Arabidopsis thaliana: one gene and its partner. The protein of the gene in region 2 interacts with the protein of the main gene of each other region in a pairwise test. Each region holds a gene or a part of one and is shown on either strand. Other genes may lie near its edges.

The links.
Region 1: the proteins of AT5G10210 (region 2) and AT2G41120 interact in a two-hybrid assay, tested with the Arabidopsis thaliana proteins (one large-scale study listed by BioGRID).

The regions. Positions count from the first base shown.
Region 1 is NC_003071.7:17,140,886-17,148,424, forward strand, and holds AT2G41120 (DUF309 domain protein), read right to left. Parts: upstream 1,601-7,539; 5' UTR 1,535-1,600; coding exon 1,145-1,534; intron 1,059-1,144; coding exon 911-1,058; intron 817-910; coding exon 569-816; 3' UTR 390-568; downstream 1-389. Other genes in the region: CAM2 (calmodulin 2), read left to right, coding at 1-307; AT2G41130 (basic helix-loop-helix (bHLH) DNA-binding superfamily protein), read left to right, coding at 2,475-2,768, 3,334-3,801.
Region 2 is NC_003076.8:3,199,523-3,210,896, forward strand, and holds AT5G10210 (nitric oxide synthase-interacting protein), read left to right. Parts: upstream 1-6,617; 5' UTR 6,618-6,713; coding exon 6,714-7,307; 3' UTR 7,308-7,457; downstream 7,458-11,374. Other genes in the region: AT5G10190 (Major facilitator superfamily protein), read left to right, coding at 348-1,093, 1,186-1,618; AT5G10200 (ARM-repeat/Tetratricopeptide repeat (TPR)-like protein), read left to right, coding at 2,856-4,704, 4,799-4,845; ANN6 (annexin 6), read right to left, coding at 7,458-7,973, 8,065-8,283, 8,359-8,504, 9,187-9,262; ANNAT7 (annexin 7), read right to left, coding at 10,216-10,725, 10,938-11,156, 11,254-11,374.

The DNA of each region.
Region 1 (7,539 bases), on a different chromosome or scaffold from region 2:
GCTTCAGGACATGATCAACGAAGTTGATGCGGATGGTAACGGAACCATTGATTTCCCGGAGTTCTTGAACCTAATGGCTAGGAAAATGAAGGACACTGACTCTGAGGAAGAACTCAAGGAAGCTTTCAGAGTTTTCGACAAAGACCAGAACGGTTTCATCTCAGCTGCTGAATTGAGACATGTGATGACTAACCTCGGCGAGAAGCTTACTGATGAAGAAGTTGATGAGATGATTAAGGAAGCTGATGTTGATGGTGATGGTCAGATCAACTACGAAGAGTTTGTGAAGGTTATGATGGCTAAGTGAGGATTGAAACAACTTCTTCGGCTTTCTCCTTTTTTTTTTTTGACTACCTTCTTATGTAATTTCATAAAGAATGTTCCTTCGCTTTGTTCTAAAATTTCATTCATGGCTGGTTTTTGCTGGTTAAAAAGACAGGAATGTTATGTGTTTTTACCTTTTGTCTAAATGACTCATTGTTCATGTTATTGACAGGTTCAGAACCTGATTCTTGAAATATAACAGTAATGAGATCTTCTTCTATTATCTTCGTATTGATCATTCTCTTTAGAATCTGTCGTCGTATGTAGAAGCAAGAAGATGCTTATCGGTTGCGGTAAGGGTAGGGAGCTTAACCCGAGTTGGCTCAGACGATGAATGTAAAGGAGAGAAGAGTATAGAAGTTGTCTCAGACATTCCATTGTTGAAGTCAAGCACAGTCTCTAAGCTGTAAATACTCTCTCCAGCTGCATAACCACCTAAGAGTTGATACGATCTGTCTGATTGATCCATCGTCAAACACATATCTTCTGAACCTATCATCAATCAATTCAGATTTCTTGAGTGTCACAATTAGGTTCAATTTGCTAAATGGTTTCCTCAATCAAAAATTCAAAATTCAAAACTTACAGGCAGCAAGTTCAAGCTGAGTTTGATAAACGAATTCAAGAACTGCGGAGACATCTCGCTCGAATTCATGAAACGGTCCGTCTTCGAAATTCATCTTCCTTAGCTTACATACTCCTTCTCCTAACTCCATCATCGCTCCTTTATGGTTCTTCAAATCCCAAAACACTCACTAAAATTACCTCAAACGTGAACGAAAACGAGCAATAGATGGAGTTAAAAGGAGAGTAGATTTACGTTGTTGAATAGATGGTGAAATCCAACAGCACATTGAAGAATTCCATGGATTAAGGTACGAGTTGGTTCCTCTGCTTGAATCCAAAGAGCTTCAAGCGCGTCATGACTTTTGTAATAATCCCTCTTGTTGAAGAGAGTCACTGCTTCCTCAAAGCTCCAATATTCTTCCTTATCCTCGTCACTATCCTCTTCGTCTTCTCCGGCGTGGTCGTTGTATCTGACGATTGATCTTCGACTGAAACGGACGCGTATGGAGCTAAATTTTGTGGAGGCTCGAATCGTTGAAGCAGTAACAGAGATTGGAGAAGAAGGGATTAAGGAGCTGAAGAAAGAAGATGGAGGAAGCGTGAAAGATGAAGGAACCTGGAAATGTTTCGAAGAAACTGCCATTATCAAAGTCAAAGGTCGAGCTCTGTCTCTACTGCATGGTTCTGGCTTGCGCCAGTTTTGTGGTCACCGTTTTACCAAAACTTTGTAATTGGGCCACTATTTGGGTCCTTATTTTTTATATAATTTAGGCCCATATTTTATGGCGAAGCCTTCCTCATATCATATGGTTGTCTCATTCGTAAATTATTTTTCTGCAGTAGCTTTCTCTTATGATTATCAAATTTGTTGATTATTTAGGGCTTTTATGTTGTCAAAAAAAAAAAATTAGGGCTTTTGAATACTCAAGTTTTTCCAGACATTAAGTTAAAACAAATACTGTATATTATTTAATTTTTGTTAAATAACAAATTTATGTTATCGCATTGCACTGTGTGAGATTTATCCGGACAAAACACAATGATAGAAGCAGCATAAATCATATCAGGATATGCCTTTTATTGTTTATCTTTAATACCTTAGAAATGGTATCTTATCATAATAACTTAAAGGATCATTATTATGGTAGTGGTAAAACATCATTATTATTCATAAGTAAAGATTTAAAGAATGTTCAATTTTTTGAGATTTGTTTTTGAATTTTTGAATTTTGGAAATGCAGTAATATACTATATAGTCCCAAAAGTCCGTATGTATCTTCAGTTCAATTGATGGATCATATAGAACTATTTAGAATGATGATGGTGGCAAGACAATGACCTAATTAAGGACCCTTCCTAAAAATTTCAAACTCTATAGCAACTTTTTCCCCACCAATATATATATAAATACAAAAATCAAGTATTTAACATCTAAAATAAAAAAAATAAAAAAAATAATCTACACTCTCTACCCTCTCATTTCACGTATATATAATCCATCTTTTAGGACAGAACCCACCGAAAGCTCCACAAACCCCATTAATTAACAAAAAACCAAAAGAAGGCGGCGCAAACAAAAGATAATGCAACCAGAGACCTCAGATCAGATGTTGTACTCGTTTCTTGCCGGAAACGAAGTCGGCGGTGGAGGGTACTGCGTCTCCGGCGACTACATGACGACTATGCAGAGCTTATGTGGGTCTTCGTCGTCGACGTCATCGTATTACCCACTGGCGATCTCCGGCATCGGAGAAACGATGGCTCAAGACAGAGCTTTAGCTGCTTTGAGGAACCACAAAGAAGCTGAGAGAAGAAGGAGAGAGAGGATCAATTCTCATCTCAACAAGCTTCGTAACGTACTCTCTTGTAATTCTAAGGTAATATAAACTTTTGATACTTTTTCATTTGGCGTATGTATCTCTCCTCGTACATATGATGTTTATACATCTGTACGTATATATTTCTTTGAAATTTTAAGAAAAGATTTTTGAAATGGGTATATAATTAGGGTTTTGCATCTTCTCTAACCCAGAGTTTACATCTTTAAAATTTTCTCATGTTTCATTCGATTTGGTGTTAGCTCATGAATACTGTACTTTTTCATGATAACATTTTATAATCATTTGGTTTCAATTGAGTCTTTTTTGTCTTACTATTCTTACTTATTAACAAGCACATATTTATCAAAGATGATCCCTAATTTTCTACATTTATAATTCTAAAGATTGATATATATTTTGATTTGAATATTCAAAACTGGCGAGTAGTGATCAGATGAGAAAAACGAAAAGCTTCATGGCCTTTTTGTGAAGCTCGTTGGGATAGTATATCACTTTTTGGGAAAGTTCTCAAGCTTTTTCAGTTGATTTGATTTGATACAAACATCAAATTTCAACTTCTTGATCCAAACTTTTCATTGTAATTTCATGTTTCTATTTTCAGACCGATAAAGCCACACTGCTCGCCAAAGTAGTTCAACGAGTCAGAGAACTTAAACAGCAAACCCTAGAGACCTCCGACTCCGACCAAACATTATTACCATCAGAGACCGACGAAATTAGTGTTCTACACTTTGGAGACTATTCAAACGACGGTCATATAATCTTCAAAGCCTCTCTATGTTGTGAAGATAGATCAGATCTCTTGCCGGACCTTATGGAGATTCTCAAGTCTCTTAACATGAAGACTCTCCGAGCTGAGATGGTAACCATTGGTGGTCGGACAAGAAGTGTTCTTGTCGTAGCTGCTGACAAAGAGATGCACGGCGTCGAGTCTGTGCATTTTTTGCAAAATGCTCTCAAGTCGCTGCTTGAGCGGTCAAGCAAGTCGTTGATGGAACGTAGTTCTGGTGGTGGAGGAGGAGAACGGTCAAAGCGGCGTCGTGCGCTGGATCACATCATAATGGTGTGAAATGATGAGAATTGAGCACACTAAAAAGTCTATAATTGATTAATATATATAGGGTATGATCATAATTAACTTGGTTATAATTACCAAAACCTTTTTTATTCCTCTTTAATAATATATATGTTATATGGTTTTAGTTACTAAGTCTTGGGAGTGTAAGCAAATGTTGTAAGTAGGTTTGGTGTGTTCTTTTTCTTTTCTTTTTTTTTTCTTTTTCAAGAAAAAGAAAAAGATCTATATTATATATAAAGAATATTTGTCATGTTATTTTCCTCTATTTATATATATCTTTTTGGTTGTTGGTGTGATGACTAGGGTTTTGAGATTGTGGGAATATTTGTCGACGTAGAAGAATCTAAGTAACAGATGTGATTGGTGAAGTCCAAAAGAAACTAGGGTACTTCGATTTACATATACACACTATACATGTGAATATATATGTATATATAGTGAAGAGAAGGTCTATGTTTGTATGCTGTGAGTTTCAAAGCGACCCTTATGTCACCTTTGTCCCCAAATGAATCCAAACTCTCCTATCTCTTTCTTTGTTCATGTCTTTCTAAATGTGTACATTTGACCACATTTTTCAGACCAAAGAATATAAGCAGTGCCTGGTTTTCTTTCTTTCTTATATATTCGTATATATCCATGTGATTATGACGAACTGTTTTACTTTTAGTTGAGATTAATTAAGTGTTAGCGAAATGTCTAGTCTACTGTTTTTGTTGATCATATGGAAAAGACGTGCATTTATGCATGACACAAAAATGCTTAAACGTATATTCGAAAAAGTAACACTTTATATACGTTGTATATTTAGGACGCCAAATTTCATATTATGTACGGCTACATGTACAATGAAAGTGTGATGAGACTTGAGAGGATTAACCAAAAATACTGAAAACTTACTTTAATTTACTTTCTTTTAGTTTATTTTACTAATCGAATTTTGGCTCTAAAGTTTCGTGTGAATAAGAAGAATATGTTAGAATGTATAATGATGTGTATCCGTATCTAGTGAGGTTTGTACATATCTGTTATATTTATAATGAAAGTGTTTTGAAATATTGTAGAGATACTATGTTTGCTATGTATCTCTATTCTGGTTTCTTCAATAGGTATCCGTTTTGTTTATAGAAAATGGCTCACCAACTTGCCTCTATGGGAGGCTGGGGATATATGAACCAAATGACTCAATAATATAGCCAATTAGACCATTAGTAAATTGGAATATATATGAAGAAGAAGGTGAATGTGGGATTAAAGGAAGAGGAAGCGTGAGAAAAGGAGACTGACAAAAGGAAATAAAATTGATGGGCCATTGGCTCTATGAGACAAAAAGGACCGACTCTTCTCATCACTCTCCCTTTTCCCTTTCTCTCTTTTTTAATAATTGTTTTCTATAAACTATAATTTTATGGCGAATTTAATAAAATAATATTGAAGAAAACTAAGAGAAGAAGAAGAAGGAAAAAAAAAGGTGGAGAAAGTTTGTCCATGGAGCGTGATGGTTTTGGGGCAGCTGGTGTCCCCTCTATACTCAACCTCTCGACCAAAAAGTATATCTTATAGAAATATTTTTAGCTTTTGCACTATATATTATTGTTAAAGTTATATTTGTATTCAACTCAAAAGAAACTATAGAAAAACTTCTAATTTTTTTAAAAATTCCTTCTGAAGTTTATGGGTAGTGTGGCAAAAGCAATCATTAACCTCACACGTTAGTGTTCCATCGTGTGAACATGTGAGTGCCCTTTCTTATCTCACCACACAATTTTGACCATCCTATTTCCTTTTTGAATATCACTATTTTTTCTTTGTGTTTACTTTGTTTTATCTACATTTCACAAACAAGCAAATAGAAGTTATCATATTATATGTCAAATATGTGTTTGTTTTCATGTGTTCTTATTGTCTTTCTTGGTCAAGTGTTCTTGTTTACCTACACAGACAAATGTGGGAACCTTTTCACTTACTTCGGGGTTTTACCGGAAAGTTAGAAAACCTTACTAAATTATTGCTTTGCTATTAACAAAGATATCTTACTCATTCTTTAAACCAGTGTTTCATTTTGTCCATTGTCAGAACTTATATTCATTTTAACGTTTTAATTGATCTATCGTAGTAGTGAACCATCTCTAAAATAAAAATTCAATACTAATTGAAAATCTAAAACCAATAGATATTAAGAAATCATTTGTTAAATTAACTTACATCTATACATCTATATATGCGACTACTGTCTAGTTTATCTGGAATCCACAATATGTTTTTTGTTTCTCCAAAAACTTTTTGATAACTTTAAAAATCTAGTAAATGCAACATTTTCTAACCTTTTAAAGTATATTTGAGGGTTAAACCGAGAATTAAGACTTACAAGTCTTGGGATAATCACTCTATAAGAAACACTTTATTGTGGTTTGGTTCACTTTTAAACCTTACTAGATATTTTCTAAAAGTTAGTATACATAAAAGTTTACAAATTGTATCTATCTATAAAAAAAATTATTTTATAGTTTACAATTGTTATTAAGTAACGTCTTGCCAAACCCGTCCCGCCAACCCGTCCCGTAAAAAACTATTTATTTTATTAATATTGATCTTATTTATGATATGTTTATGAATTATTGTCTAAATATTTTGTAATTTTGTAGTAATTAAATGCTATCAAATATCTCTGCGGTTTGATGATTATAATCGAATTATTATAGTCATGGAGAAAAGCAATATCAAAAATAATAATTTTGTAATAATTAAATGATATTAAATATTTTGCAAGTTTTATTTTAGTAACTAATCGTGTAGTTAATGTTGAGAGATTTAGGGAAGATTGTTAAATGTCAAATATTTAATTATTCAAAGATTTTTTTTTCTAATTATCAAAAACAAACATTAAAATCTAGTGGCAGTTATTGTAAATAATTCCCAACTATAGGATTTATTTCACAAAATGGCTGCTATATAGATTTTTTAGATAAAACCGATCAAACTCTTTTTCTTTTCAATTATTAAACTCTTTGATGGGTTAAGAAACATAAAAACAAAAAGGAAAACAGAGGAGAAGAATCGAGGATCCAAAAGCCCATCTAAGGTGAGAGAAGAGGGGTCCAAACTGAGATTGGAACAAAATCGGTTTTAGGGTTTCAGAAAGGCCCAAATTAGATTCGAGTAGAGCAGTCCCACAGTGACTCCGACATGACAACACTTGAGTTACACAAGACCACCACGTCTCTATACTCTAAGTCTATGCCGTACGTCAAAGGCACCAACTCTTTCATCACATATATTATTAATCAATTTATACAAAACTCCAAATAATTCACGGGACCAATACTGAATCGAAACTAAACGAATTTGTTAAAATCGGACTTTGTAGATGCAACCGAAACAGAGTAAGTACATGAAAATACGTACAACTGCATGTGATTTATTGTGAAATTCTATGGGAAAAAATTGAATTGACATATTATGCAAAATGCCCGTATGTTACATAAACTTTTATTTTTGTGTGTGTGACTTAACATGAGTGTATAAATGGAACTTTTTTTGTTTTATTTTGTTTCATATAAGAATTTACGATGTAGGAAAAAAATTAGAAATGAAAAGAGGTGGCAAAAGAAAAAGAAGTGGGAGAAAATAGATGTCAAGGAATATTGATATTCTTCTTTTCTCCGATACATTACTTTTCCTTCCATTATCTTCTAGTAATAATTTAGGCTTTTGCTGCCAAATAACTCACAA
Region 2 (11,374 bases):
CTAGAATAAACTCAAATCAGATCTGTTCGAGAATCTGTTGATTTGGGTAGAAAAAAGTCTGGAGCTTTAGGAGTTGATCTAGAAAACTTTCAGTTTAGGCGATTAGACATTGATTTTGAATGGCTGGACTTAGTAATCCTTTTGTTTTGTTTTGTTTTGTTTTGATGTTGAGATTTTTTTGTTCTTATGTGAAGGCATTAGAACTTAAGACTGTGTCATTGTGTTCTTCAGGGGATTGCTTCAATTTCATTGCAATGATTATGAACTCATTGCAAGTTTCATTTGTCACAAAGGTGAATCGAATGGATTTTACATTGTTCCTATATATGTTTGCTGGTTGAAACTAGGTGGCAGTATCAAGAGGCTTGAACGGGATAGGGCTAGCCATTGTGACACCCGCGATTCAGTCCCTAGTCGCTGACTCAACTGATGACTATAACCGTGGGATGGCATTTGGGTGGTTAGGATTCACATCAAACATTGGTTCCATACTTGGCTATGTATGTTCCATCCTCTTTGCCTCAAAATCTTTCAATGGTGTCGCTGGATGGAGAATCGCTTTCCTTTTGGTAGCAGTCGTTAGCGTGATAGTAGGCATTTTGGTCCGTCTCTTCGCAACAGATCCTCACTACAGCGACAGAAAGATCACAAAACATGTCAAAGACAAACCTTTCTGGTCAGACATAAGAGATCTATTGAAAGAAGCTAAGATGGTGATAAAGATTCCGTCTTTCCAAATCTTTGTCGCTCAGGGAGTTTCGGGTTCTTTCCCTTGGTCAGCTTTGGCTTTTGCACCATTGTGGCTAGAACTCATTGGTTTCTCCCACAAAACAACCGCGGTTCTCGTGACTCTTTTCACCATTTCTTGCTCTCTTGGAGGTTTGTTTGGAGGATACATGGGAGATACTCTCGCCAAGAAGTTCCCAAATGGCGGTAGGATTTTCCTCTCTCAGGTAAGCTCTGGCTCGGCAATTCCTTTAGCTGCGATTTTGCTTATCGGATTACCTGATGATCCCTCCACGGCCTTTAGCCACGGTCTGGTTCTTGTCATCATGGGATTATGCATCTCATGGAACGGTGCAGCTACAAACGGGTAAGTTTAATACTTATATATTTCAATCATATTCAAAATATTTTGGCTTTTCTTTACTTCCGGAAGCATCTACTTGAAATGGTTTTATACAGTCCAATATTTGCAGAGATAGTTCCTGAGAGAGCACGAACGAGCATCTACGCGTTAGACAGATCATTCGAGTCGATTCTAGCTTCTTTTGCTCCTCCTATAGTAGGGATGCTTGCTCAGAACATCTATGGATATAAACCAATCCCGGAAGGATCCACAAGCTCGGTCAAGATTGATACAGATAGAGCGAACGCAGCATCGCTCGCTAAAGCATTATACACATCGATTGGGATCCCGATGGTGATCTGTTGCACAATCTACTCGTTCCTATATTGCACATACCCGAGGGACCGAGACAGAGCAAAAATGCAAGCCTTGATCGAGTCAGAGATGCAACAACTCAATGAAGAGGAAGATGAGATCGAAGTGAAGTGTTTTGGAGCTGAAGAACACGATGAGGCTTATTTGCTTAAGCAGCATCAGAATGAGAGTTAAGAACAGAGTCAAATGATGATGATTTGGGTTGTTATTGACAATAGGGTTCCATACTTCAATTATAGGAAGATGGGGTCATAGTTATAATTTTTGTAAAAGAAAAGTACTGAAGTGAAATATACCGGTAGATAACATTTACAAGAACAGAGTAAAAGGAAAATTACTGATTTTTGTTTTTGTAAGGAAAAATATTAATGAGTATTGAATGATTATTCGCTTTCTTAATTTGCAAATCCCATAATAAAATTAATGTGGAGTATTAATTTGGTAAAAACATTAGACTTAGTTAATACCGAACCGGACTTAAACCGGATTCCGACAGAACAAGAGGCAGGCGCGTCAGTATATTGGAGTTATTTCCAATTTTGGGTTCTGATAATTGAACTTTACTCTTCTTTCTCTCCCAAACTTTTATACACAAGAGAAGATCCAACTCTCTCTCTTCTTCATCGTTGAAGTCACTTCCAATGTCGGACTGAAGAAGAGAAACCAGAAGAATCGTGACCTAAATGCAACTGTACAGATTCTTCAGTTAGTTGCAAAGATCGAAGAAATAGCTGTTTTTGTAGGGTTACTTTGCCAATTTCCTAATTCTAGGTATCTTCTTTTTCTTCTTAGCCTTTTTTCTCTCAGAGTCAAAATTCAGCAAGCAAAAGAAAGATAAAAACTTTCTCTTTTTGTTGTTTGTTGTAACGTATACAAGACTGGATTTTTATTCTTTTTATTTTATGGGTTTCTCGAAAGATTCGTGCTTTCATTGTAAAGTGTCTAGAATCCTATTTCTCTCTACTGGGTTTGGGTTCTTATACTCAATTAGCTGATTTGAAGTGTTTTTGGTACTTTAGATCTTACTGTTAGACACATCAAGAATCTCCACTGTTTGATATATGTTGTCCTTCATGTCCCCAGAGATCTAATTGATTCGAGCAATGTTGTCTTTTAGTTGCGGAATTTATTTGTTGTGTTCGATTGTGAAAATTTACAAGTTCATTTTGTCTATATTTCAGCTGTCTCTTTGTTTCCCTCTAGGATTTTTCAAAAATTAGGACCACTCAGTTTCTTTTGTAAGATCCAATTTCGCCTTTCGTTTTCAGGATTTTGACTTGGCAAGTAGTAACATATTATAAATTTATTCATTTTCAACTAAAGTGATATGTTTTTGGTGTTTGGTGTTATAGACTAATTGAGTGATAGCAACATCAAGGAAGCAGAAGCAAGTTTTGGTTTTTGTTTGTCAATGGATAAAGCTTCCTCACAAGAGTGTCCTTATCCAGGATGTTTCTTCTGTGTAATGAAAGAAGGAAACCCGAGTAAACGAAGATCCTGCATTCTCAAATTCTTTAGAGATCTTCCTTCTCAAGACGATGATGGTCAAGTTCTTCCCATTAGTGGTCTCTGGAACACAGCAATGGCTCATCCTAATGATCCTGAGTTCATTGAGCTTGGAATCTTTGAGTGTATGTCTGCTTTGATATGGAAAGGACTTAAAAACCGGCGTTGGCTATCTCATGACCAGAACATATACATTCCTTACTACGCGGCTCACATTATCGGGTCTTACACTATGAACATGGAAGAGTTTGCTGAGAGAGCTGTAGAAGCTGGTGTGATTCCTCCACTTGTTGAGCTTTTAAGAGGTAGGCTTACTTGGGTTGAACAGAGAGTGGCGGTTCGTGCTTTAGGGCATTTAGCTACTTACCCGAGTACTTTTCCCGCTGTTGCGGATCACGGAGAGATCCTCGAGCTTGCTATACAGTTGGCAATGAGTTCGTTGGAGATAGTTTATTCTCATTTTTACCAGTATCCGGATCGAAGGTTGAGTTACCATTGTGATCTGCTTACACGAGGCATGGGAGGTGTAGAGATGGAGTCGAGAAAAGCAGAGGAATGGGCGAGCCAGTTGCAGTGTTGGTCTCTTCAGCTCATAAACTGTTTCGCTTTTAAACCCGAGTTTCTTCCCACTTTGTGTAAACCTGAGTTCTTGGTGAATCTTCCAGTTATGTGGGGAGGACTTGTGAATGAGAACTCGCCTGCTGGTATCGGTTTGCTTAGAACAATCTGTCAGCATAAACTAGGTCGTGGACCTGTCTCTGCATGTGCAGGAATGATTGAGGCCTTGTGTAATATCGCTCGTTCTTCTGATGATTGGCAGTATATGGCGATTGAATGTCTTCTTTGGTTGCTTCAAGATCCTAATACGTCTCACAAGGTGATTGATAAGGCGGTGCCAACGCTTGTAGATCTTGCAGAGATCACAAACTTGGGTGATCACAAGAAACTTGGAGATTCCATTGTGAGTGTTCTTCAAGAATGCAGCTCAATGGGTAACCGTTCAAGGGAATTGATCGAAGAAACGGTAAATTCTCGACAGAGACTGAAATGGGAGAAGAGTATGCCTAAAGAGGACCTTCATATCAAACAAGCAGCAGCTTTAGTGGTCAAACTCGAAGGAAACTCTCTCTTTTCATCAGGAGATATCGCGGGTGCAGCGGAAAAGTACTCGGAAGCTTTGTCTCTATGCCCAATGAGGTCGAAGAAGGAAAGAGTAGTGTTGTATAGCAATCGAGCTCAGTGTCATCTCTTGCTACAACAGCCTTTGGTTGCTATAAGTGACGCTACACGTGCGCTTTGCTTGCACAATCCTGTAAACCGGCATGCTAAGAGTCTTTGGAGAAGAGCTCAGGCTTATGATATGTTAGGTCTAGCTAAAGAGAGTTTGTTAGATGCGATTCTGTTCATCAACGAATGTTCTCAGTCGAATGATCCGGATCTCTCCATGAGACAGAACAAGGTTCCTGATTACGCAGAGAGGTTGGTGAAGAAACAGATGCGTGCAGCTTGGTTGTTTAAAGAAGCGGCATTGAAGCATGGAGGTGTGCATAGGAAAGGTGAAGAGAGGGAAGTGTATGGAAATGAAACAGATGATTCGGAATGGGAAACAGCGAGTGAGAGTGATATAGGAGATGATGGAAGGGATCATATGGGACTTGATGATGAGGAGGAGGAGGAGGAAGATGAAGGTCACGGTGAGAAGTGGAAGAACCGGGATAAATCGAGTGAGAAAAATGAGAAAACTTCTGCCAAAGGTGAGATTCTTGCATGATTATGATCAACACATTGTTGTCTTGATTTCAAATTAGTTAATGGTTTATTGGTGACACAATCTATGAATTTGTTCAGGTATGAGGCATGGATACAGCATAAAGCTTGCAGAAGATGAAATATGAAACCTTGAAACACAACAAGGTCGTTACAAGAAGTTGAAGAACAGAGAAGACGTTGAATGGGTTTGAGTCTTTTTTACAAGCAAGAAACTTGCTTCATGGATATCGTAAGTTTTCTTTTACTTTTTTTTTTTTTTTTCGTTTCTTTATTTAGTTTTGTGTGATTGTAGGATTTGTGGTAAAATTTTATCCATTTTGAAGGAGTAAAGAAGAAAGGAACAATTGTTTTGTTTTTTCAGTGATTTTATTTATTTTTATTTTGTGGTGTATTTATTCAGAGACAAAGAGGAGTTCCAATTTGTAAAAAAATATTTTTTCCTTATATTAAGAAATGATTTGTGATTGAGAGAGATATTTTTTTTTGGGGGTCAATGATTGGCCGAGATTGTAGATTAAAAAACATTTTAAATGGATATTCGCACGTTAGCTAATACAGTAATAAAAAATTTGTACAAAGATAGAGAATTTTTGTGGGTCTTAGCTTATTGGATTGCGATATTGTAAAGTAAAAGTTTTGAAAAATGGAAGATCTGCATTTAGTCCACCGAGGATCATATGCATAGTCGATATTGACACAAGAGTGAAATTTGATTGGAGGAAAGAGGATATGTACCAAGCCACTATTTACCTTTTTTTTACGTCAGGCTCTTGAGATGATCTTCTTAGTTTTGATGTCTTTTTGCAAATTGCAGTGACGTTTTCTAAATTGGTACACTAAGTTTAAAAATGCTGTCCTTTGGATAACTCCAACGGATGATATGAACTAAAACAATGCTGTCCTTTCATATTATGTAAGAAAACACTCACTCGGTTAACTATGAGCAACCCACTACAAGTAAGTATTGTAAAAACGTTTTTTTCTTTCAAATTCCAAGTATTTTTTAAATTTTGTAATAGAAAATAATGATTTGGGTTTTGTAAGTTAGTATTAGGATTTAGATTTTTTTAAATAGTAACGAAAGTGTTTGATAAAAAAGTAAATAGTAACGAAAGTAACCTAAATTGACATTTCCATTACCCTTGAGATGATCAAAATAAACACAATTTCTGCATGATTATGAGTTTATGACTATGCTTATTAGCAATGATTTGTTCTTTCTATAATTTAAAACCAGTTGAAACTAAAATTGTTTTTGTAAAATTTAATAGATGATATTATTAGTATACAAAACTTTTGTCAACAATGAATTGTGTGATAAGAGTTTTTTTGGAGATTTTCTTATGTAATAAAGTCTATCTTGTATGACTACAATTGATCATGGGATTCGTGGCTAATATTTTTTGTAATTATATCTTTTGAGTCAAATTCCATACTCATTTTAATATATGCAATCGAATGTATCTACTAATAATTTGTTCTTATTTAATTTGATTCTGTTGACTCTGTTCCAAAACAACTTTCGGCTATTGGATGTGTCCACGCGAAATGTAATATAATAATGATCAAGTCTTCAAAATGGCACACCTTAATTTCTTTTTGCAAATTATAAAAATTCTTTATATGGTGATCCTACGTATCTATCTAATTATCTCCCAAAACTATGGGCAAGAGTCATTATTAAAATCGACCCTTGGTCTTTTGAGATGCTCAAGAGTTTTAATTTCTAAAATATTAAGCCTTCACTAACATGATTAGAAAAAAATAAAAAGTTAAAAACATGATTAGAAATTTAGAATATTTTAATAAGTACAATGTGGAAATCTAGTGTAAACTTTCCTCGAACATTCCCCATAGATTTATATAAATAGCTAGTGAGAATTTGTTCATGCACATATTCATCACAAAGGAACTCACTGCTCTTAAATTTGCTCTAATTGTTATTACCTTGGTAAATAATATATTCTTGGTTCGATTCGAAATTTTCAAGCAAATGGGTATCGTTGAAAACATTCGTTCCCTTAAATTTGAAGTGAAAATCGTGGAAGCTAGAAACGTAGAGCTCAAGTCATCGCCAACCACTCTCTTCGTTAGGTTCTATCTCCATGCAGGGAATAACAGTAAGATTGAACTAAACACTCCAGAGATCCGTTCGAGATCAGACTGTGAGGTCATTTCCTGGAACCAATCATTCGGTCTGGAGTGCCAAGGGAACGAAACCGCGGTCGAGGAATTGAAGCAACAAAGTGTTGTTTTCGAACTACGGAGAAGGAAAACGACGCCGTTTTTGAAGAAGTGGTCGAAATCAGAGTTGGTGGGTAGAGGAAAGATTTTTTGGAAATCGGTTATAGAGACTGATGGGATGGAAATAGAGAGATTTGTAGTGATGGATGAGACAAAAGATCACGTTCTGGAAGATTGTGATAAGCATAAACCTCTTTTGTTGAAGATAGCTTTAAAAGTGCAAGCTTCAAAAATCGTGAACACTAAGAGAGTGGAAGATCTTTGTGAGTGTAAAGATTGTAGAACATGTAACTGCGTAGATTATGAAGCTTTTGTTGTAGCTTGTGCGTTAGCTGGGATTTAGTTTGTAAGAATAAAATTTAAAGAAGAGATGATTCAAAGAAACCAGAATAAGTTGTTGCAGTAAAATGTAAAAACTAAGGACCAAAGTTCAAAGAAAATGAAAAACAAATAACAACTGTCTTATAAAAGACTATGAAACGATGATGTTGTTTCAAGCATGGTCATGTCCAAGAAGGGCGAGAAGCATATCCTTGTAGTCACCAGAAGTGTCATTAGCAATGGCTCGATCAAGAGGAACACTGTTCCTGCGTAAGTATTCTTCTTTGATCCGCTCCAGGTCGACCTCTGCTCTTGTAGTGACCACTCTAGTAAGTGCCCACTCGTCTGTTCCCATCCTGTTGATGGCTCGACGTAGAACCTTCTCAAAGTACTTCTCTGGATATGTCAAGCATTTGATCGCGGTTTTGAGTAATTGAACATAATCATCGTTCGAATCTTCTTTGAGAAACTTGTTAATGGAACTTCCAAACTTGTCCTTGAAGTGATTGAGTGTTGCATTGATCTGTGCTTTGCTCCTTGTTGTCAAGATTCTGATGAGATCTTCATCAGTGTAAGCCTTCTCAGTGATCTTCTTGTGAAGTGTCTTAGCTTCGGATCTAGCCAGCTTCACGTTGACCTCATCAGCATTTCCATCGTACCTGAAGGTGCTCACAAGAGGAACCAATAGCTGCATTTTTACAAGTGGTCAAAACAAAACAACATATCATCAGAAACTTACTAATTGGTTTAAAGAATGATATACATAAATCTTTCACTACCTTTCGGATATTTCCAGATGTATGGTATGCAACATCTTCCTCGAGAGAGGTCTTGTAGCGAACATGGTATGCTTGCTTGGTCTTGAAAAACTCAAGAGAAGGTCTAGTACAAGCGATTTCAACTAGGACCCAAATGTTTTTGGTGAACAATTTGGTAGATTCATTGGCCAAATACGCATCTCTCTCCGTTGGATCAAGAGTCCACAACATCACAACTCTCTGTTTTCAAGCAAAGTAAGATGTTCAAAATAAGATGAAGAAATATAGATTTTGTATCTTTTAGTTTTGACAAACCTCAAAGTCACCAGAAAGCTCTCCGTCTAATTCCTTGAGAAGATCCTTATTGTAGTTAGCAGCATAAACGGCACGAATGAAACTGCGTTGCGTTGCGTTTCTATGAGCCAAAATTGATATGATCATCCCTTCATTAGTTCCCCATCCTGCGCCACACAAAAACAAATTTCAAACCCAAGTTTAGTCAGATAGAGAGTATGTAACAAAACCTAACTAAACCAAACCAAAATTTTACGACAGTTAGAAATTAACTGTAAATATACAAGAAAGCTGATGTTCGCTAGTAGAAAAAAAACCAAGCTTGAAAAAATCTTAGAAGATTATTAGAATTTTTTTTTTGGGTTTAAATCTGAATAAAAAAATTGTTACGAAAGCAACAAGTTAATCTGTTTAAAAGAGTTGTCTAATCGTCGATTACAAACCAAACGGTCAGGAAACGCTCCAACATAAAATCAATTGCATCCAAAATCAGCAAAAGAGTAAATAATATGTCACACAATTTTGCACCGTAACAAAAGAATCATGCAATGGAGTATAACCACAAAACTTCACGAAGTTAAGACTTCCTAAGAATCATTTGAAAAACGAAATAAAAAAGAGCTAACTTATCATCCACTTCTTAAAATTAAACCTATATACGTGTCATCAACCAAACCAGCAAGCTAGATCAGTAGATCAGACCTGTCATGATAATAGATTGAACTATTGATAATCAACCCAATTAAATAATATCAAAATGCAAATGATTCAATCAAAGCATGAATGTGAAGGCCTAGTATTTAACTTTTACTAAATCAATCTAACAATGAAGGGATGGATCATGAAAACCTTTGAATGCCTTGTGGAGCTGCTCGGAGTCTTCTTCGGGAAGAGGAATATTTGCTGGAATTTTGAGAGACGCCATTCTCCGACCACTGAATATTTCTCTAGCTCTCTAGATGAGACGAAGAAAATGTGGGACGAGGAACATGCACACTGTCTTAAATAATGAAATGATATCCCAATTTTTTATATTTTATTAATTATTTTTGTTAAAAATTAGATTTAGCAATCTATGTAAATCAGTAAAAGAGGAAAAAATTATTAATACAGGCTGTCTACAGTGGATAGAATTGATAAAACAAGTATAATGTTTTGCATTTTTTTGTCATAAAGCTGAATATTAAATGGAAATTGCACATTTTCTTAAATAATGAACTGAAATCTCAAATTTTGTTAATTATTAATCAATTTTGTTTTAAAATAGACTTAACAATTTAAGTAAATTAGTAAAATGAGAGATTTTATTAATACAATTACAGGCTGTATACAGTGAACAGAAATGAAAAAACAAGAATCATGTTTTGGGTTTTTGTCATAAAGCTGGATTTTAAATGCACTTTAAACAGCTTAAATATGGGATTACATAGGTACCGAAATTTAACTTTTAATTTATTTATTTTTTCTGTTATATAATACACGCATATTCCTTAATTAATTTCATTATTTGGATATTTCATTATTTGGACATGGATTATAACACATGGCGGACAAAACATTAGAACCAATATTGTTCATTTTAACAAGATGTATTAAGTATGGGTTTAGCTTTAATTTTAAAACCATATAATTAAGGGGAAAATTATAACTCATTAGTTTATACTAAATTAATTATAAATAGATCAATAATAATTTTTGATATGGTTTTATAATTTTTAGATTTAAAAAAAAAAATAACTGAAAACATCGACGACAAATGAAACTGAAGACACTAAATTCTTAACATGACCAAGTTGCAAGTCCAACCACAACTGTTTTATTAAACACAAAGCGATAAAATTTAGTTTTTTTTCTTAAACAAAACTTGCAAATGTTATTTCAAGCATGGTCATGTCCGAGAAGAGCGAGAAGTATATCCTCATAGTCACCATGAGTGTCTTTAGCAATGGCTCGATCAAGAGGAACACTGTTTCTACGTATATATTCCTCTTTGATCCGTTCCATGTCAAACTCTGCTCGTGTAGTGACCACTCTCGTTAGTCCCCACTCATCTGTTCCCAATTTGTTGATGGCTTGACGTAGAACTTTCTCAAAATACTTCTCTGGATATGTCAAGCATTTGATCACGGCTTTGAGCAATTGAATGTATTCGTTTTCCGAATCCTCCTTTAGGTATTTGCTCATGGAAGTTCCGAAATTGTTTTTGTAGTGATTGAGAGTTGCGCTGATTTGTGCTTTGCTCCTGGTTGTCAAGATTCTTATGAGATCATCATCAGCATAAGCCTTTTCCTTGATCTTCTCGTGAAGTATCTTAGCCTCGGACCTAGCTAACGTCATGTTCACTTCATCTCCATCGTACCTAAAAGTGCTCACAAGAGGTACCAAGAGCTGCATAAACAAAAACATATGTCACAAATTTATATGCATTCTTGACATAGTTATACGAACTGAGTTTGTTAGCTAGGAATCTTAATTACATCAATAAACATATGAGATTTCATCTAGTATACAAAATAGATGAACTAGATACATTTGATTTTATTGGATATCTCAGATGGAATTAAGCTCATGAAACTTTCACATAATTAATTATATAATACCTTTCGAATGTCTCCAGATGTGTGGTATGCGACGTCTTCCTCGAGGGAGGTCTTGTAGCGGGCTTGGTATGCTTGCTTGGCATTAAAGAGTTCAAGAGCAGATCTAGTACAAGCGATTTCGACAAGAACCCAATTGTTTTTGGTGAACATTTTGGTAGATTCTTTTGCCAAATAAGCATCTCTCTCCGCTGGTTCAAAAGTCCACAACATCACAGCTCGCTGTTTTGTTTACAAAAAAAGAAAACATAGTTAAACAGATCAGTAGACTAAAACCAAAAGAAGACGAATATATAAAGATGTTGTCTCAAATTAAAACCTCAAAGTCACCGGAAAGCTCTCTGTCTAATTCCTTGAGAAGATCCTTATTGTAGTTAGCAGCATAAACGGCACGAATGAAACTACGTTGCGTTGCATTTCTGTGAGCCAAGATTGATATG